Linked DNA regions of Rhinolophus ferrumequinum. The protein of the gene in region 2 purifies or fractionates together with the protein of the main gene of each other region. This does not show direct contact. Links are inferred from orthologs where the notes say so. Each region holds a gene or a part of one and is shown on either strand. Other genes may lie near its edges.

Evidence for each region.
Region 1: the proteins of DYRK1A (region 2) and RB1 purify together in Homo sapiens (affinity purification with mass spectrometry; 4 studies listed by BioGRID and IntAct, with this or other methods). This does not show direct contact. The link is inferred for Rhinolophus ferrumequinum from reciprocal best matches to the Homo sapiens genes DYRK1A and RB1.
Region 3: the proteins of DYRK1A (region 2) and CTBP1 purify together in Homo sapiens (affinity purification with mass spectrometry; 4 studies listed by BioGRID and IntAct, with this or other methods). This does not show direct contact. The link is inferred for Rhinolophus ferrumequinum from reciprocal best matches to the Homo sapiens genes DYRK1A and CTBP1.

Annotation. Positions count from the first base shown.
Region 1 is NC_046287.1:89,098,359-89,105,705, forward strand, and holds the start of RB1 (retinoblastoma-associated protein), read right to left. Parts: upstream 3,001-7,347; 5' UTR 2,815-3,000; coding exon 2,690-2,814; intron 1-2,689. UniProt on the Homo sapiens protein: Tumor suppressor that is a key regulator of the G1/S transition of the cell cycle. The hypophosphorylated form binds transcription regulators of the E2F family, preventing transcription of E2F-responsive genes.
Region 2 is NC_046285.1:102,489,936-102,497,313, reverse strand, and holds the start of DYRK1A (dual specificity tyrosine-phosphorylation-regulated kinase 1A), read right to left. Parts: upstream 3,059-7,378; 5' UTR 2,495-3,058; intron 2,137-2,494; exon of another isoform or gene 1,089-2,136; intron 1-1,088. UniProt on the Homo sapiens protein: Dual-specificity kinase which possesses both serine/threonine and tyrosine kinase activities. Exhibits a substrate preference for proline at position P+1 and arginine at position P-3.
Region 3 is NC_046288.1:87,554,080-87,562,062, reverse strand, and holds the start of CTBP1 (C-terminal-binding protein 1), read right to left. Parts: upstream 3,001-7,983; 5' UTR 2,892-3,000; coding exon 2,852-2,891; intron 1-2,851. UniProt on the Homo sapiens protein: Corepressor targeting diverse transcription regulators such as GLIS2 or BCL6. Has dehydrogenase activity. Involved in controlling the equilibrium between tubular and stacked structures in the Golgi complex.

The sequences.
Region 1 (7,347 bases), on a different chromosome or scaffold from region 2:
TTTTCATAGTCTTTCTAAAATAAGGATGCCATGCAGTGAAAAATGTTTGCTGGCCTGATCATAGCTTTGTGAAGTGAACACAAGAGCTAAAGCTGTTTGGTAAAATAAGGATAACAACAAGAGAAAAGCCCATTATTACAGAATCAATTCACTATCAGTGACTTTGCTAAAATACAGTCTACACTTATCAATGTTTCATATACATAATCTCTCCACCTACTAACATTTCTTACATGATGATTAACTTGACACAAATTATTGCTAAGTTCATTTCAGCCTTTGCTCTTAGATCTTCCTTAACCAAGATATGCAGTCAATAAACTCTTGTTGGCTAATTCCTTTTCATTCCTTTAATGTCTATCTGACATCTAATATTATGAGGAATAGCTCTAATAATTTTGTATACTAATAGTATGTATAATACTGTATAAGTAATGCATGTATAATAGCATGAGGAACAGCTAACAATTTGAGTTTTTACCATGACCCCACCAAAGCAGCTTAGATGCATAATTTTACTGAATCCCCACATTAGTCCTATTAGGTAACTACTCTTACTATCCTTGTTTTACAGGTAAGTACCAAATCAGAGAAGTTAAAGCACTCACCTGACATCACAGCCAGTAAGTAGGAAAACTTGATATAAACCCAATAGCCTAACTTCATAACCCACTCCCTTGAGCACTATTCCAGACTGCCAACCATCCTTCAAGACATAATTAACTTTGGTTATTTCAACAATGAAGATAACATGCAGTTACTGGTGAGGGTTTCCCTCCCAACTACATCATTCAGGCCAGAGATAATGTAAAAGAAGGATCTCAACTGTCAAGGTAGAAATGGACTCTGTCACTGGAAGTGCAGTTGGACTGGGCCTCGAATCCATCCCTAAGTAAATTTCTTGGCTGCAGACTGCCAGACAGTGGTGCTATCCTTGCTAAGTAGTTCATCTATAGAGTTCGATTGCCCATGCTAATGAAACCTTTTGTGTGTATGGATAATCAAAAGCAAACTGTATCTTGTATGGTTTTGACTTACAGGAGAATTTATGTTTCCATCATTTAAAGGTATGCAAAACAAGGTGTTGAAAAAACAATGAGTTTCCATCATTTAAAGGTATGCAAAACAAGGTGTTGAAAAGAATAAAAGAAACCAAGTCCGAGGTGATGGCCAGAACTTCAATATTTCTGGTTACCTTACAATAATCGAGACTGTTTCCAAAGGTCTGTGGATAACATGGAACACTTTAGTAAAGTAGACTTGACTGCTCTTTCCAAAGGGAAACTTTCAAGTATTGGATACATCACAGTGTAATCAGAAGCTAAATAATGTCTTCTCCCCCAGAACATCCCCAGAATTTTTTTTTTTTTACTGGTATGATGTTAACTGACCCATAAGACAGTCTTTTGAAATATATGAATTTTTAATAGCCTTTCACGGGCCCTTTCCAAAAGCCCATTCCAATCTTTTACAATTTGGCCTGAATTCTGTTAGTGTCTGGGGAGGTGAAAGAAATGGGACTTGGCAATGGACTAGAACAAGGGAGGGAGTGGTGAGGGACAGAAAGGAGTCCCAACTGCTTGCAATGGACATGTAGTCTGAAAGTAGGACCAGTGCCCCCAATAATGACAATTATACTCTTTCAATCTTAACTTCTTAACCACAGAGTACCACAATCAAGAAAAATAAGATGTTGCAATACAATAAATATCTTCCTGTCGTGTTCTACTGCAATATCATGGACTTTCTTAAATTTAAATTCCACTTAGGAAAAAAAGTTTCATGTATGCACAAGAACACAAATTTTGTAACCAAACAAAAAAAGGGCAGGGGGGAAACACCAGGACCTTTGCTGGCTCAAAGCCAAGAGGCAAAATGGAAGAAATAATGAGACATGCTGAAGCTGACTCACATTCAGTTTTAAGAAAAAAGAAAAAAAGTTTAGACCCTTTTAAGCACTTAGACTACATGTCTCACAAGACTTTTGCCCATACACCATTTCCTCTAAAGTTACGTTCCAGCAGTCACTACGATGGCTCTGTATCCCCAAGACCTCAAGGCATTATTATAGGAGAACCGTACAAAGCACCTCAGCCGAGTACCCTGGAGGCAAACTGACACTCAGGACCCTGAACTTCACGTCCAATGGCGTCTCTGCAGCAACGTCCGAGGCTTTTCTGGTTGGCCTTTCCCAGAACTGGGCTTGAGCTGGAGTTGCACGCCCAGAGGAAAACACTTCCAACTGTTGCATCCCAGGAGATCAAAACAGAAAGTCTAAGACCACCGGAGTACTACAAATCTCAACAGGAAAAAACTCTCCACCAGACACTATTTTTTTTTTTTTCCGTTTGATGGGGCCTCTAAATTACCCGCCGCCTGCGAGCCTCCCGTCCCGCGGAGGAAAGGCGGCACCTGTCACTTCGCTCAGGGACCCGAGCCCCACCCGCCCGACACCTGTCAAGCTGGAGCCGAGACCCCTCCCGGCTGCCCTCCCGTCGCTCCCGATCCCAGGCCCCTGTCACCCGCCTCCAGGCGCTCCGCGGCGGTGGGGGACAAGCAGGGACCCTCATTCCGCCGGGACCCTGCCCCCGGCGAAGACGCGCCCCCGCCAGACGCCGCGGCGCCCGCCGAGACGCATCCTCGGGGCGCCCTTCCCGCGTCGGCCGCCGCAGTGGCTCTCCTCGCTCACCTGGCCAGAGGCAGGTCCTCGGAGCCACTGTCCTGGTCGGGGTCCTCCTCAGGAGGGGGCGGCGGCGGCGCCGGGGGTGCGGCAGCGGACGCGGCGGCTGCTCTCCGGTGGGTTTTGGGTGGCATGACGCCCTGCCCGAGCAGGAGCCAGCGAGCGGCGAGGAGGACCCGGGACGGAGGACGCGCGCACGTCGGGTCACGCCCCGTCCTCTCCAGACTCCCGTTACAAAAATAATTTGAACGTCCCCTGAGAAAAACCGGACAAGCCCTCCCCCGCCCGGCAACCTAGCGCCGCGTCCAACCGCGGGAAAACGTCACTTCCGCCCGCGGCGTCACGTCCGCGAAGCTCGCGGGCCCGCCGGCGTCGGGAGGGAACCGGGGCGCCTGGTGCTGCGCTGGGTGGGGACGGGAGGTCGGGCGGGCTGGGCTGGGCGGGGAGTCCGGGCTTGCGTCCAGGAGCCTTCCCCGAAGTCGCCGCCTGAACCTGTCTCCCGCTTCCAGGCATGGGTGCGGGTAACGGGGCTTTGCACAGTCTGGTGGGGGAGATTGGGCCGCATCTCCATCTATGGGCGGATCAGGGGGTGCCGCTCAGGCCCTCCCGGGAATATCAGGCTACTGCACCCTCTACGAGCACCCCCCTCTCTTCCGTGGGCGGCACCCTCAGTCTCCACCGCACTCCTCCCGCCCAATCCGTTAAGCAAAGTTGGCCAAAACAAAAACATTTATGGAACATCTAATGGGAGCGAACTCTGCCAACCACTAGGAGATACGAATTGTAGGACAATTACGGGCCTTTTAGGGATCACGTGTAAGAAACGGAGGGGGACTGTGGGTAAATAACATTATAGTGTGATAAATGTGTTAATAGTGGTGTAAAAACAGGAGGCACCATCAAACTGTGTAAAGGACATCTTCAAAGGAGCAGTGGGAGTTGAGTAGAATTTTGCCAGGGAGACCTAACATTTAAGGAGGGCTTAGTATTGATAATGGGGAAAATATTAAATAGAATGAGCATTGCTGAGAGAGTCACGTAAAATAGTCAGGAGGCTATTAGGGATGTGGGACCCTACACATCTTGTGCTTCAGTTCTCAGAGCTGCGATTAAGTTGCTAAACCTGTTGCTAAACTCAGCAGAAGGCCCACCCATAAACATCCTGGAACAGTAACTGCTACATAGACATATATATAGACTTAGCTTCCTTCCTTCTCGGTTTCTTGCCTCCATCGTTTGCATATTGGAATTAACCAATCCCTGTAACCTACCCGACAATCCTCTATTTGCATGAAAGAATTACACTTTGTCGTTTTGCTTTTATAAACCCTATCTCTTTGTTCTGTCCAGAGCCCGTTTTGGGTTGCTACCTGAATCTGGGTCTTTCAGATTCGAATTCTTTTTTAAGACCCGCGAATAAACATTTAATTTGTTTTACAGCCTGAAATCTTTATTGGTTAACATTAGGTACCACGGTTGTGCTGGCCATAATTATCTTACTTAATACTCAAAAACAATCCTTTAAAACGAGTAGTGCTTAGTATTACTCCTCTTACCCAATGGGAAACAGGCTCAGAGAAGTTAATTTGCCCAATATTTCAGAGCTGATGGGTGACAGAGGATTTGAATCCAGGTTGATTTGACTCTACACATCCATTACATTGCATTGATAAAACACCAAAAAGAGAGAAGCAGCATGTGCAAACGCACAAAGACAACAAAGAAGAGCTTGCTGGAACTACCACCATCAAATAATGGCTTAGAAATTGTGTCTTTTCTGTCACTTGGTGTATACTTACTGTAATAGATTGTCTAGATTGAGTACATGTTTTTCTCTCTTTGGTAGATGGTGAGGATTGCCTCGCCAGAACTTCCCAGCTGAGGTGCTGTGAATAAGACACAGTGTGCTCTGATGTGAATCCTCTCATCCTTGGAACAGCTGAGCAGGGCTGAGGCAGCAGAAACCTTCAGGCAATTCACGGCTACAAGCCTCTTGGGTTTATTACAGAAGTGAGTAGATGGTAATGAATTCCCATTTTCTGTGTATACCATGATGTATGCCAATATTTAAAAGGGGTTGTCAGTCCTCAGCCTACTCAACAGCCAAAGTATATTTGTAAGCCAGCGATATCTGCCTAAGATCAGAAACCCTCACGTGGGGACCAAAAGTCTGTCAAGAGGTAGGATCCATGCCCAGCCCCATCTATATACAGCAACTCCCGTCAAAATGGTAATCCTGTTCACTTTGCCCAAGATTAGTGTAGGCAGGAGCTCAGGATGCAGTTGGTCTTTCCAAGGTCACAGATAGTCTGCTAAGAACCTGCTAAAATGAGATACAGGATGACACAGTTCTTCTACTCCTTAACTATTATGAGGATGCGACCCTTGCAATTGCTGCTGCCATTGTGACGTAAGACAAGCTGACTTGAGAATAAAGCAAAAATGTTAAGGATGGTACAGTAGAAATGTCAAAAAAAAAAAAAAAGTATGTCCTCAGTAACATAACTGAGCCTCTGATTTAACCAGAAAGCATCGTAAGTTACACTATTTCTCTAATGAGCCCCTTCAGGATGGAGACCAAATCATTGTAGCCCTAGTGCCTATCACGGTGTTGGACACACAGTAAATGCTTGTTTGCTAAAAGTGGGGAGGGCAGGAGAGCACAGGAAAGTTCTGGGGACTGGAGTAAATGCTCTTCATAGGCAGATAAGACTTGCTTTATTAATCTCAGTTTATCAACATCTGGTTTTACCACAATTATGATAAATCAAAAAGGGATTTCTCAATTTACAAAAGGGTGTGTATCTTTACCATGAATTAATTTCACTGTTCCCTACTACATTTAGAATCCTTACACACAGCTCAGGAGCAACTGAGTCAATCAAAATCCTTGCATCTCCACACAGCTTTCTGTTGCACTTCCAAAGAAGTAATACAAATTCTGCAGATTCTTAAAAGAAGCTTCCTCTGATCTTCCTCCATTTGCATAGTAGTTTTAAGATTGCCATTAAGACCAAATAAAGATCTGTCTTAGATGTTCTACCTGGAATGGAACTTTTCCAGCTTGAGGCCCCTTCAGTGATGTCAATAGTTTTTCCCCTCATCTAAAAATTCTTCCTTCGACTTTTTTTTCACTCATAAGGTACCACACTGTTTCCATTTCTTTACCATCTAGCTTGCTGAAAGGGTAGTCCCCATTCGTTCTCTACTTCCCCAAACGTCTCCCTTCTAGTGCCTGACTGTCTTCTACCACCACTACCAGCACTCTCCTGAAATCACTCTTTCAAAGGTCACCGATGTCCTAAATGTCAAGTCATGGCTTCTTTTTGGTCCTCAACGTACTTAACCTTTCTGGCAGTTAACACAGTTATCCACTTCCTCTTTCTGAAAATTTCCCTAGTCTTCCAAAAATCCATGGTCTGCTTGTTCTCCTCCTCCCTTCTGTTACTTACGACACTCCTCCACTACCGTGTTTCCCCGAAAGTAAGACCTAGCCAGACAATCAGCTCTAATGCATCTTTTGGAGCAAAAATTAATATAAGATGTGGTGTTGTGTTATGTTATGTTATGTTACGTTATTATAGACCCAGTCTTCCGTTAATATTTGCTCCAAAAGACTATTAGAACTGATTGTCCGGCTAGGTCTTATTTTCGGGGAAACACGGTAGTTTTCCTCCCAGTCTCTTCAGTGCAGGTTCCCTAGAGCAGCACTACTAGTGGTCCTTGGACCAGTGCCAGTTTGCAAACTGCTTGCATTTGGTCCAGAAGGAGATATGTGCAGAAATTAAGAGTAAATGCTTAGCAGCATTTATTGCAATTTGACATTTCATCACTATCCAAGCACATGATCATTGAACACCTCTCATTAGACAGAGTATAGAACAGTTCAGGTGTTCTGTGACTTGTGTGGTGAGTTGCGGGTAGCATGTCTGTGTCCTTGTCATGTGCTATAGTAAGGACCACTATAAGGAAAGAAAGTTTAAGGTTAGTCAACTGTAACCCAAAAGTGAGTGAAAACGTATCTATTTATTTACTCTTACAATTTTTATAGTCATTTTAATTTTTAATCAGCCTGTTTTTTTGAAATTCATAACTAAATAGGGGAGTAAAATTTGTGTCATTTGTTTTAATTTAACCCTAAATTATAAATGGCAAAGTAAACCTCACTGTCCTGTTTCGCCAAGAAAAAACATGTCAGTAGCAGGTTAGTAATAATAGTAGTAAACCAAATAATGACTGGAGAAGTGATCCCAAAGAATTGAAGACTTAAGTGTTTGTACTAATTTTACTCAGAAGTATAAACCTCCCGCGATTGACTTCATAGCCATAACTCATGGCAAAATGCTAAAACCATGAACTGCTAAATGAAGCAATAAAGCCATCAAACTTCAGTGGTATTCACATATAAAATACGAAGACACTAAACCTTTTGAATTTTTATTCAGTGAAAATAAACTGCACACATAAGAAATTCATGGACGTAGAATCCATTTCTCATTGAAAAATAATTTAATGTAACTATAACTTAATAAGAGAAATTTCCGAAACTGGCTACTGATACAGAATTGAAAATGAATTTTAAAAATTAAACGTTGTTTGCTTCACTTTGGATAAAAATTAAAAATAAATATCCTGAGCTCCTGAAATTGTTTTAAAATCTCTTCTTT
Region 2 (7,378 bases):
CAGCTGTATGACCTTGGATGAGTCACAGCAATTTCCCCATCTGTGAAATGGGTAACAGTTCCTACCAGTAGGATAAGCTTGTTTATGTAAATAAAGCTCTGAGAATAATGAATGGCGCTCTTCGTCCAAATTTTTAAATCAGTGTGAAAACAACGTTTTAAGGTGTATTTTTTTTTTTTGACAATTTGGGCGGAATTCAAGAACCAAACGGTGCTCACATTCAAGTGAGGAACCTAGATTACAATATTCTTATAATCGAGGGTTGGATGAAAGGCATAGCCAAATAGTTGGAGTCCATCACTCACTGATTTTGCCATTTTTAACTATTTCGGGGAGGGGCCTTTCGCTAAGTGTTAAGATATTCAGCAGTTTCGGTGGATCTAAGTGAGAGTAGCTTTGTATCTGGGAATAGACTTGTGAAGTTTTGCTGCAATACCCAGATATCAATTATAATTTACGAATTCTCAACCACCAATTCCTCCGGCTGCTAAACAGGTCATCACTCCCCCTCGAGTGGCCGGGATCACTTGCACTCACGGCACAACTTCAGAGCCCGCCGAGTGCCCTCGCTCCAACACACACCCCAAAGGGCCGCGGAGGCACCCGGCTCCCGACCTTCCCCGGCGCCTCGCCCAGCAGCCAGCCCCATTTTCTTAACCCGTACATTGTCCTTGCGGAGAACCCCGGCGGTTCCCACACTGGAGGGGACCAAGAGGAGGGACGAGGGAGGAGCTGGGGGAAGAGGATGAGGAGGAAGAGGAGGAGGAGGAGGAAGACAACCTCCTCCCCTTTGCTCGGGCGACCAGTGAAGGTCTGGCGGTTTCTCCAGCCCCCAGGCCCCGGCTCCCGGGAGGCCGCGGCCCCTGCTCCCACCCTCCGCAACTTTCCCTCCGCTCGCACCCGCCTCTCCTCCGGGACCGGGCCAGTCGGGCTCCCTCCCCCGGCGGCCAGCCCCGGGCCGCGGCGCCTCCTCCTAAAATGGCAGGTCCCTCCCTCCGCCCGGCCGGCCTCGGCGCGGGCCCGGCTGCAGGCCGCGGGGGGAGCCGGGCGCCGGGCCGGGCGGGGCCGCGGCCCGGCCGGACACTCACCAGGACGATGGCGGGGCGCTCGCGCCGCTCCCTCCGGTGAGTCTCAGCCTCCGGCTCCCGCCGCTGCGCTCCCGCCGCGGCCTCCGCAGCCAGCGCCGCCCGGGTCGCCGCTCTCCGCCCCCGGCGCTCCCGGCTCCGCGGCCGAGCCGCAACCTTCTCAGTCTCTCTCCGGCTCGCGGTTCCAGCGGCGCCCGGGGCCGGGGAGGCGACAGCCCCCTCCCCGGCAAATACCGCAGTCCCCGGACCCCGACTCCCGGCGGCGGGGCCGCGCGGCCCGGCCCGGCGCGGAGGGCGGCGGCGGCGAGGCCGGGCGCCGAGTCGCGACCGCTCCCGGCGGCTTCTTCTCGAGGAGGATTTTGTAAATCTCACAAAATGGCGCGCGCTCCAAACCTGCGCAGCGAGAAGCGCCGGGGCCCGAGCGGCGGCGGCGGCGGCGGCTCCTCCGCCAGGAGAGCCCGAACCGCCCGCCCCCGAGTCCCTGCACAGACAGACAGACACTCACACACACACACGCACGCACACTCGCCCTCGCACACGCTCACTCACACACACACTCTCACACTCACACCGGTCCCGCCCGCTCGCCGGCGGCGGCAGCGGCACCAACAGCAGCAGCAGGAACAGCAGCAGCAGAAGCGGCGGCGGCGGCGGCGGCGCCCGCACCCCCCGTTTGGGGTGTCCGCTCCCTGAGCCCGACCTGAGCCGCGATCAGCAGCAGCGACGGCAGCAGTCTCCCCGGATCCCCCCGCCGCTCTTGCCGCCGCCACCCCCGCCTCACTCCAATGGGGCTTTTTATTATTATTCGGGCGGGAAGCGAAAGGGTTTAAAAAAAAACCAACCAACAAAATGGCGACGGACCGACCCGGTCGCTATAGCAACTGTCAATCAAAACGCAAAACCCCGGCTGACGTGCTAACGTCCTCCTCCCGCCCCCCGGCTCAAGCCGTTGGGCGGGGCCTGTTGCTCCGGCAACGGCAGATTCCGTTCCCTCCTTTAGTTCTCCCCCTCCGTACCCAACCAACCACCCAACCCCCTCAGGTCACGTGAAGGATAAATTCGGAGCTCGGGCCCGCTACGAGTGTCAGAGGAGGGCGCGTGATTCGCTCGGGGGAGGGAGAGGAGGAGGATGGCAGGGCGGAGGGAGGGGAGAGGAAGGGGGGCGAGGCGGCGGCCCGGCCCGTAAGCGAGCGCCTGCCGCCTCCCCTGCCGCCTGGCCGCGCCCCGCGCCCGCGCCGACTGCGGGCAGAGGAGCGCGCGCGGCCTCTGCGCCGCCACCCCCGGAGCCCTGCGCTTCCGCGTCGTGCGCCCGCAGCCCCGCCCGCGCCGGGGGGAGGGGGGTCGGGCTTTGCGGCCGCGTGGGGACCCCCGGAAGCCCACCCCCGCGCGCCCTGGCCCAGGGCTCTCACCTTCGTTTCACGGTAGCGCGCCAGCCGAGGGAAGGCAGCCAGGGTGCGCACGTCCGCGCGTTTAAACTGTTCTTGGAAGGGCTCGCGTGCCCCCCTCGCCGGAAAATGCCCACGGAGGCCGCGGCTGGGGGTGGGGAAGAGGCCGCCTCCGCGTTTCAGACATCTCAGGAATTCCGGACGCTTCGCCCGAATCCGGGATGCCCCTGCGGCTGACACCTTGATTAAATCATGCCACACGGTTTGTGTAGCCACCAACGCCAACGTTCAGAAATTGTGGACGGAACCATCATAAAAACTTTTTAGGCTGTGCACGCTCTCCCTGGCTTTCCCACCTATTTCAGACCTCTACCCACCTTGCTGGGCGCTGCCTTCTCGATCGGAATAACCCCCTAAATTAACACGACCTATTACTGTATCCTTGTTGCCCAACACCGTTTTCTTTTTCATGTACCATCTCAGTTTCCAGATTCTGAATTCGCCCACAATTCTTTATTAATATTCTGGCTTTCATGTATTTTTATTATATCTACCCTTTCTGCTTAAATGTTGGTATGTGTCCCTACCCCCCGCCCCCCAGGCATTAAAACCTAGCTGTGCTAGTAGCCATGCTGTGCTGGGTACTTTGTAATCAATAGACAGCCACTGGCTAAAAATTGTATTTTGTACCAAGCCTAATAAAATGGCACTTAAGTGTTACGTTAAAAAGGATAACAGATACTATTTTACACCAAGACACTTAATTTATTGATTGATTTCTAAGTTTGGTTTTTGCCATCATATAATAGTGTTCGTATCAATTTTTTCTTAAGCTTAAACTGTTCACAAATACAGTAGCAACAGATACAATCTTAGTAAAGAATAACAATCCTGTAATAAATACTGGTTCTATCCTATGTAACTCAAGGAAAGACACTTGCTTTAAATGGTTTCCAACAAATGTTTCCCTCCTTCAGTGATAAGAACATTGATACACTTAAGGCAACCATTCAAATTAGCACAGGCCCTGAAAGAAATCAGACCAAACCTGAAATAAATGAGACAAAAAGTAGTCGGGCAAAAAGCTTACTTCAGGCTGATTCTCCTCCGTGGTATAAAAAGTTGCCATGACTCACAAATTCTTTTGGATTGCCGACTTTTTCAAAATTGCCCTGCTAATGCAATTAAAGTCCACGTTCAGCCCGATTGTTTTGAAGAAACTGGCCAAGAGGGTCCATGTTGAGGTGAGAAATCGCTACCTTAATTCCTCCCAGACTCACGTCCACCTATATAACCAACCCCTCCCCCACTCGGGGTTTTCTTCTCCCTGCTCCCCACCCCCACCACATTCACCAGTTTCACTTCTATCATAAGCACTGGAGCATTAGCAACCTTTAACACTGAAGTTAAATTTGAGTCAAATTTTTATTGGTGGTAATGAAGGAAACTTGCATAATTAATTTTTTAGATAACCTGGAAACAATATGACAGTGTCTCAAGAAATGGGCCCTTGTCTTCAGTCAAATCAATCTAGAAGATTATAAGGGTGAGGCAAAATCTTGAGCTTACAATCATGCAGTAATTGAAGGGATTTCTGGTCTTCATATCTAGAAGGCTGCACCCTTCCCTCTCAACCACACAGGGCCAGCCCCACCCCCACCCATGTGACAGTCTTACACAACATTGATCAATGAACTGTCACTGTCATGTCCAGGTTGAAATGCTGTAAAGTGGTTTTAATAGGCTTCACCTAAAAAGTAACCTATAAATTATGCTGGCCCAAAACAAGTAAACAAATAGGCAGGAAGGACTCTGGTTCAGATGCCAGTTTAGTGTTGACTAGGTTTAGCGATTGAATCCTTGCTGTCATCTGAGAATCTCATCACATCCACTGACTGATGTATCTATTCATAGAAGTTAAACTATAAAAGCAAAGACCCCACCCAACTCACAGATAATAACAGCCTCCACTAATCCAGTACATTCTAGGGTATGTCTAATCCTCATAGAAACATTTCATCCCCATTATACAAATGAGAAAACAAACCCGGAGTAAATAACTTTCCCAGGTTACACCACCAGTAAGTGGTGAAGCCAAGATTCAAACCCAGGTGTAATTGCAAAGCCCATTTCTACCACACCAAGACGATCCAAGATTATTTGGATATCAGGTCTTTATAGAGGTAATCAAGATGACATCATTAGAGCGAGCCCTAATCCAATATGACTGGTGTCCTTATAAAACGGGGAAATATGGACAGAAACAGACATACACACGGGGAAGACAACGTGAAGACACAGAGAGAATGCCATCCACAAGCCAAGGAATACCTAAGGCTGGCAGAAGCTGGGAAACAGGATTGAATAAATTCTCCCTCACAGCCTCCCCCAACACCTTGATTTTGGACTTCTAGCCTTCAGAACTGTGATACAATAAATTGTTGTTTAAGCCACCTGATTTGTGGTACTTTGTTATGGCAGCCCGAGCAAACTAACATGCAGATTCTAACCAAGATGCTGGTTTTTTTGTTTGGTTCCACACCTGTTAATGACCATACTAGGTGATACACTATACGAAGCTCAAAAGTTCAGAAGTCAGAACCCCACGAGTTATAACCCAAACATTCCAAGGACAAAGAAACGAATGTTCCTACGACTGCCCCTCACACCAGGTTAGAAGGGGAACAGTTTTACAATTCGTCCCTGGACAGTGGCGCAGCCAGAATCTGACAGCGCTGCACTTCTTACAGACTTCTGAGTAAAGCTCCTTCATTGCTCCCCTTGTATAAGCTTTATTGTTAGTTCTGATTGTAAAAGTTAGTCAAGTGTATGAAACAGATTAAAAGGAAACAAAATAAACCAAGAGAGGGGCCTTATTTAAACTGATAATGATAGCATGCTATGAACCAAGAAGTTAATACTCAGTTCTCTACACTTGAGGTCCAAACACAAAAAATGAAAGTAACATGTGGACATGAGAAACAGTTTTACAATAGGGAAAACAAAGAGATAAAGATTATTCATAGATTTTTAAAAAAAGATTATTCATAGATGTCACCCAGAGATAAACCTCACTCATATCTTCATATTGGCATATATCCTCCCAGACATTCTTAGGGAAACACGCATGTGCACACACTCGCAACACATGTAGGTATGTTTTATGCCTTTTTTACTTGCAATTATGAACGTGTTTGGTGTTAATCAACTGAAACTTAATTATTTTAACAGCTACAAGTATTCCATCAGTTGAATGGGCCATAATTCATTTAATTGCTCCTCTATTTTTAAAGAGTTTTCCTCTTTTTGGTTATCATAAATAAAGCTGTATAAACATTGCATATATACATTTTCCACACCTGTCTGGTTATTTCCTTAGGATAAGAGCATGAATCCTTAAAGAGCTTTGATCGTGTCGCTAAAGTATTCTTCAGAAATGATTTCACCAATTTGCACTCCCAAAAGTAGCGTGAGGATGACTTTTTTCCACTCTTGTTTTAATTTGCATTTGTTGGACCATTTCATGTCTTCTTTTTTATATACATACTTGTTGGCTATTTGTCCTTGCCTGTGTATATATCCCAAGCTCATTTAGGGGAAAAGGAAGAGGTGTCATCTTTTTGTTGATTTCTTTCTAATTTTACTGCAAAAAAGAAGGAAATTGGATGGCTATATGCTGTTGTTAGGCTAGTGTATGATATCAACACCAGACACCCATCACCCCAATTTATCCGTTACCATCTCCATTCCTTGCCATCTGACAAGTGGGTCTAGCCCAGACGGCTTCCCTGCTCTCAGCTTCACTGCCCTCACCCAACCCACTCTTCTTACCTGGACCACGTGCTCTGCCATGACGGAGAGCACGTGGCAGAGCATGGCAGAGCACGTGGCCCAGGTAAGCATCATCAGGTTGCTTACAATGTTGTTTCATGGCAAGATGTGGTTCTAATGGTGTCATTTTTAAAAGTGAGGATGATATGTATTGCTTTCCTGTCATGTAAGAATGTTTACCAATATTATTTCATGAATTATCTTTAATATTTTCTTTTTTGTGACATCAAAATAAAGGTTAAATAGAAAATGTAAATGTTAGATTAAAGCATATTAATTAATTGCATGGTTTTGGAATATCCCGAAAAAGTATTTTACAACATTTGGTCAGGATTTAAAAAGAAATACACTTTAATATATTGATTCATATATATGGCAGCTTCCTCGAAATTAATAGTTTGAGGGAAAATGCCCTAATGAAACTGAAAAATAATTAAGTACATGGAATTTAAATTAGGTAGAGGAGACACAGAAATCTACAAAGATCGCTTACTTGAATGGTTCATTAGCTCAACAGTTCTTGAGAGATTTGGCTTATTTTCTTGGCTTTTTAATGTAGGTATGTAGTGGACATCATTTAATATTCCTACAGTGTTTATCAATATGTGCATTTACTGCTACTGTCTTCAACATATTTCCTATTTTACCTCAATTCAATTCAAAAGATATTTATGTGGTCAGAGCAGTGGTAGTACTTTATTCTATCATATTTGTTTGACTGTTTCTCAACTACAAGTGCTTTTAGGGCAAGGATCTTATATTTTCATCTTTGTATCACTAGCACCATATCTGCCATACTGTAAATACTACTTTGTTTTGTATTTTTAAATGCATGATGAGCTCCTGCAATTTTCTTCCAGTTTTCCTCCATCCTATATGAGGTTTTTGGCAATCAGAAAACTTGAAGGGAAACTGTCCAGTGATTTGTAGACAAGTAGGAAATGTTCTCTTCTGATCTTAAAATGGATGGAATTTCTCTAGCACCAGAGGACAGATTGTTGCAGTCAGCAAAGCTGGAAGACGAAAATCCCACTGAAGATACAATGTCAGTGATTACCATGAAGCTGGTTAGTTCTG
Region 3 (7,983 bases), on a different chromosome or scaffold from region 2:
CCCCACCATTAACTGGTCCGCTGGGATTCCTTCAGAAGGGTCCCAGGTTCCAGTCCCATCAGGTTGTCACCCTCCCCCACCCTGGCTCCAGGGCTGACAGGGGACACAAGGGACCACTTGCCTAAGGATGACATGGCAGACACAACAGCACTAAGAGCCACCCCTTGTCGTCCCGCGTGGTGACAGGCCCCTGAGTTTTCCAGGTCTGCAGGATTATGGATGTTTCCTCTCACAAGACCCGGGCCTATAGGGGCGGCCACAGGAGGCCCACGCTAGGGCGTGGCCCATGGGCTGGTCTGAAGCTCAGCTTCTGGAGGGGATGGTCCCTGCCCTGGGGTGTGAGTTCCTGTCCTGGGGGCAGGGCCACCCAGGGCTTTGAGCCAGGCGACCCACAGAGTGAGGGCCAGCAGTCCTCCTTCATGCCACCAGTGGGGAAACTGAGTCTTCTAGGAGAGCTGTTACCAGATAAAAAGCTCAGGACGCCACACCTCTGACGCCCCTGTCAGCCACAGGACCCACCTGGAAGGGGGTCTCGGCAACAGCAGGGCTGAGGCCAAAGGTGTCAGCACTGACGAGCTGGGCCCTGCTACTCAAACAGGACATCCCCAGCGCCTGCTCACACAGGAAACTCCAAGGACAGGTGACAAACCGTCAGCAGAGAAAAGTCCCATCAAGGCCCAACACTCTGCTTGGGGACTGCTGGCCCAAAGGAAGCCCCCACCAAGCACTGGTGGGGGGCCAAGGACAGACCTACCTCTGAACTCCAAAGGCCTTCTCCTACAGAGAGCTGCTCACTAGTGTCTGGGGTTGCTCAGAAAACATTTAAGGTCCCCCGATTATGTGACAGGAGCTCGCAAGGGTGGGTGGGCTCCACATGCTGGGGGCTGGCTTTCTGCTGAGTATGTTTTTATGCAAATGAAGTTGCTACTTTGAAGAGGAGAATGGAGGGGTCCTGGAGAATGGGGAGAAAAGGCCCTGGGCCCCCATTTGCGACCTGACCCTGCAGTTCAGTCAGCTCACCAGAGGAGAAGCAAGCTGTGCACCTCTCTGTGGTGGCGGTTCCCCTCCCCCAACCCGAAGGTCGGTCTGTCCTGACCTATCAGGGAGCATCACTGTGCAGGGTCTGGCTCCCTGCCAGGTTCCCGCGGCTTGGTCCCTTGGGGATCCCAGAGACAGCACCCTGGCTTCTCAGCAGGCAGGCAGAGGGCAGGCCTGGGCACCAGCCAGAGAAAGCTCCAGCCTCCAGCCACTGGCTCAGGTGCAGTCACAGCCCCTCCCTCCCACAGGCCCCCAGTGCCAAACTCTGTGGGCTCCAAGGGCACCGCGAGGGGCAGGGGGGCTGGGAAGAGGAAGCCAGGGGCTGACGGACCCGGCACAGGGTGCAGGAGAACGTGCAGACCGCACAGCCCCTCCCACGAGCAGGCCCCAGCCCACGCTGGCTGGAAGTTGACAAGGATTGCAGCACATGCAAGATGGCCACCGGCAGCCGGGCAGGATGCGAAAGCAGGCATGGGGCCACCATCAGGCCAGCTCCCAGCAGAGGGGGTCCCCAACCCAGCCTGCTCCCCCACAGGCCCAGGCCCTGGGCTCCCCTCCCCCGTGCTGCCCAGAGACCAGCGAGGACCCTTGTCTGACATCTTTCAAACACAAGGGGGGCAGGTGCCTTGTGACAAACAGAACTGGGTCCAAATCTCTTGAATTATTGAGGTGGAAACGACTGGCTCAAGGAAGGGAGTGCAGTGTGCTGAGTTCTGGCCGCACTGCTGTGTGGGGGCCCCTGGCCCCCCCTTTGTGACCACGAGGACGCCACAGGACTGTGCCCTAGCTGTCCCGCTGAAAGCCACCGAGGGAAGGGCTGCCCTCCCCACCAGCTAGACCTTATAATTTTATACATTTTTAGAAACGGACGGAACATCCCAAAGGCCGTACAGAGCCGGCTGCAGAAGCAAGCACCACTGAAACGCCTGCCGAGCGCCTGTCCCCACAGAAAACCCTCCAGCTTAAGGGCTTCGCCGTCCCAGGCAGATCCGCATCCTGGCCACCGGCTGGCGAGCAGACCCTGGCGGCCCCCGGCGCCTCCACAGGAGACAGGCCCGCGGAGCCCCCAAGGGCAGGGACAGAGCCCCCACTGGGCCAAAACGCAGTTCATCTTCAGGACACGCGAGAGCTTTTCATTTCTTTCAAAGCAAGTTGCGTGTAGTTGATCTCATCGTGCGCCACCCGAGTCTGTGACATTCCCCCGCCCGCTGAAGCCCTGGGGGAGTATTTACAACAGGAAGTGACTTAAACGAAGCAGCGGAGCCCGTCTCACTGACACAAGACCTGTGGCCCAAGCAGGACACACTGGGCCGAGGGCCCTCCCGCTGGGCACCGCACGTCTGAGGTCGGGGTCGAGCACCGGGGATCTGGGGAACCGGGCGTCTGGTGGGGGACCGGGAACCCGGGGCCTGGGATCTGGGGTCTGTGGGGCCGGGAGGTCCGGGGGAGTGGGACCCTCGGGTCCGCGGTCTGGGCACCGTGGGTCTGGGGAAGCCAGGATCCGGGGGTCCGACTGGGAGTCACGGAGCCAGAATGCGATAGGCCGGTGGGCCGAGGGTCCACAGGGTCGGGGTCCGGCGCCCCTTTGTGTCACCTGCGCGGGCGGCGGGCGTGACGGCGGCGCCGGCGCACGCGCACTCGCACACAGCAGCCCGCGCACGCGCTCGGAGCTCCCCGGCCCGGCCCCGCCCTCGGTCCCGCCCCCGGCCCGGCGGCGCGCGGACGCCGGCGCGCACGCGCACTCGCACACAAAGCCGGCGGCCCCGCCCGCCGCCCCGCCCCCGCGGCCGGAAATGCGCGCGCGCGGCCTTACCGAGCGGCAGGCCCTTGTTGAGCAAGTGCGAGCTGCCCATTGAAAGGCGCGGGCGGCCGCGGGCCTCGACGAGTCCGGCGCGCTCCGCCGCGAGCCCGGCGCCTGGGGCGGCCTGGGCGCCGTCCGCTGATCTGCCCGCTCGCCTGCGCCCGGGCGCCGCCGTGCCGAGCAGCGCCGCGCCGCGCCAGCAGCCGCTCCACCGGGCGGGCGGGGACAGGCGCGCGCGCGCGGGCGGGGCTTCCGGCCCAGCGGCCTCCTGTTTCCCGGCGCGGGCGCCGCGCAGCACCACGCGGGCGGCTGCAGGCCGCGCCCGCCCGCCCCGCCCGCCCCCTCCCGGAGCCAGGCTGCCCGCGCCGCACCTGCCCTGCACCAATATCTGCCAGGCCGGGCCTCGATGCTCACTCCCGCTGGCCGCGCCTGCCCCGCTCAGGCACCTGCACACCTGCCTGCCCCGCACACGCAGCCGCCGGGCTGCGCCTGCCCAGGCGAGGCGGCCTGGACAGGAAGTTCCTAGACGAGCTTTCCTAGTCTGCTGCAAGGGAACCAGCTCTGAGACACTGAAGCCAGAGCACACGGGCTTCCCAGGCCTGGGCTGGGGCTCTCGGAGAGGTGACCGGGGTGACTGAAGCGGAGTCCTCACCCCAGCCTGTTTGGACACCGACCCCAGCCCTAGAGAGTGACTGGTGCTTAGTTCCAGAAGTCCAGAGGGCACCCCGGCCCTCAAGGGAGTTTTCGGTCCCCAAGACGAGGTGATCCGTGATGCGGAGGAACCGCAGGCCAGAGCCGCAGGCCCAGGCACCCTGACGTCTGCGGTGGCCGGCACTGAGCTGTTGGTGCAGTTCTGCAGGCCGCGTGGCCACCCTGAAATCAGTCCTGTTGTCTTCGCTTTTATAATTCGTACATCAGTGAGGAAATGTGGGGGATCCAACAAAGGATGACGGAGAACTGGGTATCTACTTGGAAAACAAGTACTTTTAAACTCCCACTTAGTACTCACCTGTAAAAATACCTTCCAAATTGGATTAATTGGAACACATGGAGAAATGAGAAAGCGGGATGTAAGCATGTGGCAAACCTCTTAGGGAACTTTTCTGAATGCAGATTCAAAAGGAACCAGGAGGGAGAGATCAAAACTCCAGACCAGGGTGTGTGTCACCCCCCACCCCCATTTTCTCAGAAGATTACTCCCCAAACATTGGCCTGAGCCAGCTCCTGGCCCTCTTCCTGTCCTGCCTTAGCACCTCCTGTGCTGAGATCTAGGTTGCCCCTTGCTACCCGCTCTTGCCATCTCACAGCTGCCCAGAGCAGGCTCTCCCACATCATTTCACCCCTGTGACTGCTCCCAGAATGTAGATCAGACTGTGACCCCCTGCTCAAAACCCTTTAAGGATTCCCGTCGCACTACAGAGGAAATCCATGCTTCCTGTCACAGCCAGAGCCCCCACTCTTGCACCCTTCTCCCTCTAACCTCCCACTCTCCAGCCACATGGCCCTTCTTCCCGGCTGTCACAGGGCCACCACACACGCCATTTCTGCTGCCTTCCCCTGCTCTTCCCATGGCCACTTCCTCCTCCTTACCCTGTGTCCAGTACAGGGGTTTCCTCTCAGTCTGGGCTGTCTTCCTACCGCACTGCCCACTCCCGAGGACAGGGGTCTCTGTTCCCCCAGCCACATGTATTCCAGGTGGAAACCTGCTCGGTGGAGCCACAGGAAGGATCGATGCATGGCTCTGAGCAAGCCGTCCCGTGCATGCCTCCTCGGTCCTCCTGGCCAGCGGTGCCACAGCCTCTGGGACAGGACCGAGGGATCAGTTAGATACCGAGGGATCAGTTAGATACCCTTCCACTGTCCCCACACCTGTGTGTGTGGTCCTGAGGCCCCTGAATTCCCTTCAGAGAACTGGCCTGCAGACAGCCTGGGGCAGGCAGGTGAGTAGGCCAGGGGAAGCCCATCTCTGCCCTGCCTGACACCACTGAGCTGTCACCTCCTGGTGGAGCTGCCCCCTCCCAGGAGAGATCATCTGGAAGGAGCCCCCACCCTTTGGTCTTCAGCTGGACCTGGGTTTGTGCCCAGGAAGCGCCTGGTACCTGAGCTCTGCCTCCATGAAGCAAGCTCAGACTGTGGCCACAGAGTCTAGCCCACGACTACCGCGGTGTGCCTCTCCTTTCCAGAAGAGACCGGACCTTCCCTCCAGGTCACCAGAGGTGGTGTACCTGCATCCCCACTTCTTTCCTTAAGGAATGCGAGAATTTTTCCAACACCAGAAGTTAATATTTTTCTTTTCTCTCCGTGGAGAACTAGAGGTCCTTTGTCTTCTAGTCATTCTGGGTCGTCTGCAATGTTGTCCAGACAGCTGAACGGTTTGTAAGCCGGCAATCAGTGCGAGCTCATGCAGCGCTTCCACCCCATCAGCTGCTGTAAGACGCTAGTGCTGTTCGCTCAGTGGTTCTTGGGGGAGCGTCATGGCCACTGCAAAACAACCCGTCTCTCTTGTGGCGTTGAGAGGCGGCCTAGGATCCAGCTTGTCATTGAGTTGAAGTGGCACTGACAATGCTCGGACAAGGCACCCTTGCTGGCTTCCCACTGTCACCACCACCAAGGCCCAGGGTGTCCTGTGGGCCCACTGGCCCCCCTATGCTGGCTTGGGGCTGTGCTGAGAGGAGACCCCGGAGGGGTCATCTGAGCACTGGGGCTGACGGGCCTGACAGTGGGGCCCAGTGGGGTCGTGGAGGAGAGGACAGGCATGGAGTCCTGATGGGGGAGGGCCATACCTACAGAAGTCTGGGAAAAGAACATTCCAGAAAAGGGAGCAGCAAACTCAAAGTCCTGGCGTGGGTGCAAGGGACAGAGGGCTGCAGCTGGAGGAGATGGAGAGACAGCAGGGTCAGGGCCTTGGCTTCTATTCTTGGCTGCCAGAAGGGGTGATGTGAATGGTGGGGTGCACAGGGCAGAGACCCCACTTGGGAACCCCCCCTCCGGAAACGGTCAGCAGCAGCTGAAGGTGGCAGGGCCTGGAGGACTTGCCACCAGGCTGCAGGGGGCTGGGACAGAGGGGGCCTGGCCACTCCATTCTTCACAGCTAGAATCAGGCCATATGCTCCGTGCTGAGGGACCCGGGGCCGGTGGGTCAGCTGGGGAGAAACCCACAACTCACATTCTGACTTGTACTTGCTGAGCAGGAACGGCTGTCAGATGCCTGAGTGTGCAACAGATGGGACCACCTAGAAGCAGGGGACCTGGCCAGAATTCACACTTCTTCCATTGCACACGCAAGTTCATTCTGCAGCTGCAGTGGAGCTCCAAGGAATTTCACAGGTGCAACCAAGAGGGAGAGGTGACCGTGGCCAGGTACCCAGCACCTCCCTCAGCTCTGCCTCCCACAGCCTCACCATGCAGCCAGCCAGCAGGCCTCGTCACTGCTTCCCTGGCTCCTCTGGTGCCTGCACCACCTCCCGTCCCACTGTCCCCAAGCGCTGCTTTCCAGCACTGGGGCTGCAGCCCCAGAACTCTGTGTGCTCCCCACACGTGACTACAGCTGTGACTCCGAGACCCAGGCATGACCATATTGGCCACACTAGCGCCACAGCTCTCTGCAGGCACAGCTCTGCACCCGGCTTGCCCGCTGGGAGGCGCCAACAGCCGACCTGCATCTGTGCAGGTGGCCTGCTCATCCTCTTCCTGCACCTGGGGCCGGCCACGTGCCTGCAAACAGGTGCTCAGTGCCCACTTGCCCTGCCAAGGACGCAGCCAGCCCTCCAGCTGCTGGAGAGCCACCCAGCTCAGGAAGCCAGGCCCCGGTCACTGAGTGGTGTCGGCCTCAGCGCCACGCGGGACAAGCACATCCACAAAGAATCACTAACGCATTGGATGAACAAATGCTTCTTCCTGGGGCTCCACACATGGCTGTGAATTTAACTTGGTGTCTCCTGGGCTGGCCATGTGTGGGAGCAAAAGTCCGTTCCAAATCACTGCACGCAACGCCAGCCAGGAAGGTTGCTGTCCCCACTGGCCCAGGTGGGGACACCGGTTTTGGTGTGCAGACTGAGGACCAGAAACCCTGCACCCCCAAATTAAAGAACTCATCATTTTCAAGCACATGGAATGTTTACCAACGATGGCTACATGACACGGCCACAAAACCAGTCCCAGCAAAATACCAAAAACCTATATTGATCGTGTTCTCCAACCAAATGCAATGACAATAAAACTAAGATAATAGAACCAAACATTTGGAAATGTAGAGCCATAAACTATATTTGACTCATGCTTCAAAAAAATGAGTTTAAAGCATTTAGAAGCCGACAACAAAGAAACACTACATGGAAATGTCCACGGGGCAGCCAAGCCAGACTTGAGGGAGCTTCTGTCCTGGACGTGTGTGTGTGTGGACTGTGGGAGATAAGGAAGGTGGAAAGAGGCATCTCACGTCCAACTCAAGAAATGAGGAATTGCAGAGTAAACCCACGGAAAGAGAAAGGCTGAAACAAAGACATGATTGTGGATGAAAAGTTAGGGAGTAAAGCCCATGTTACCCAGGAGTCACAAGACCAAAAACTGGCTCTTTGGAAAGACGGGCGGCATGGGCCCCAGACACCACCCCCCACCACCCCTACCCCCCGCTGTTGCTCACACCTGGGCCGTCACTTCCCCAGCCTGGGCTTCACTTGCTGGCCATTCCAATGACAGAATGCAGAAGTGATGGGATGTCACCTCCAAGAAGGGCTACAAGAATGTTGTCACTTGTATTTCTTTTTCTGGGCAAACTCCGCCCAATGCCAAAAAGAAAACGGGAGCCAGAGCCACCCCCCAGGCCTGAAGCTCTGATGGTGGCTTCGTCCCCCACAGCGTGGCAGGATTTTGGGGCTAATCCCTCGGGAGGGGGTGGAGGACAAACCACCAACAGGAAAGAGAACCCTCCCCGTGGCAACGGCTGACTGCCTTCTCCTGAAAGACAAGTGCAAACAGCTGGGCAGATGTTTCAGGTGGTCTGTGACAGGAAAATTGGCCTGTCATCCTTTACATAGTGTTGGTAGGAAGTCGGGCCCCGGCAACCTGAGGTGGGGAAGACTCCTGGAAGCGCCCGGTCAGTGACGCTAATGTCACAGCGCTCACCCCGAGACACCCTCAGACCC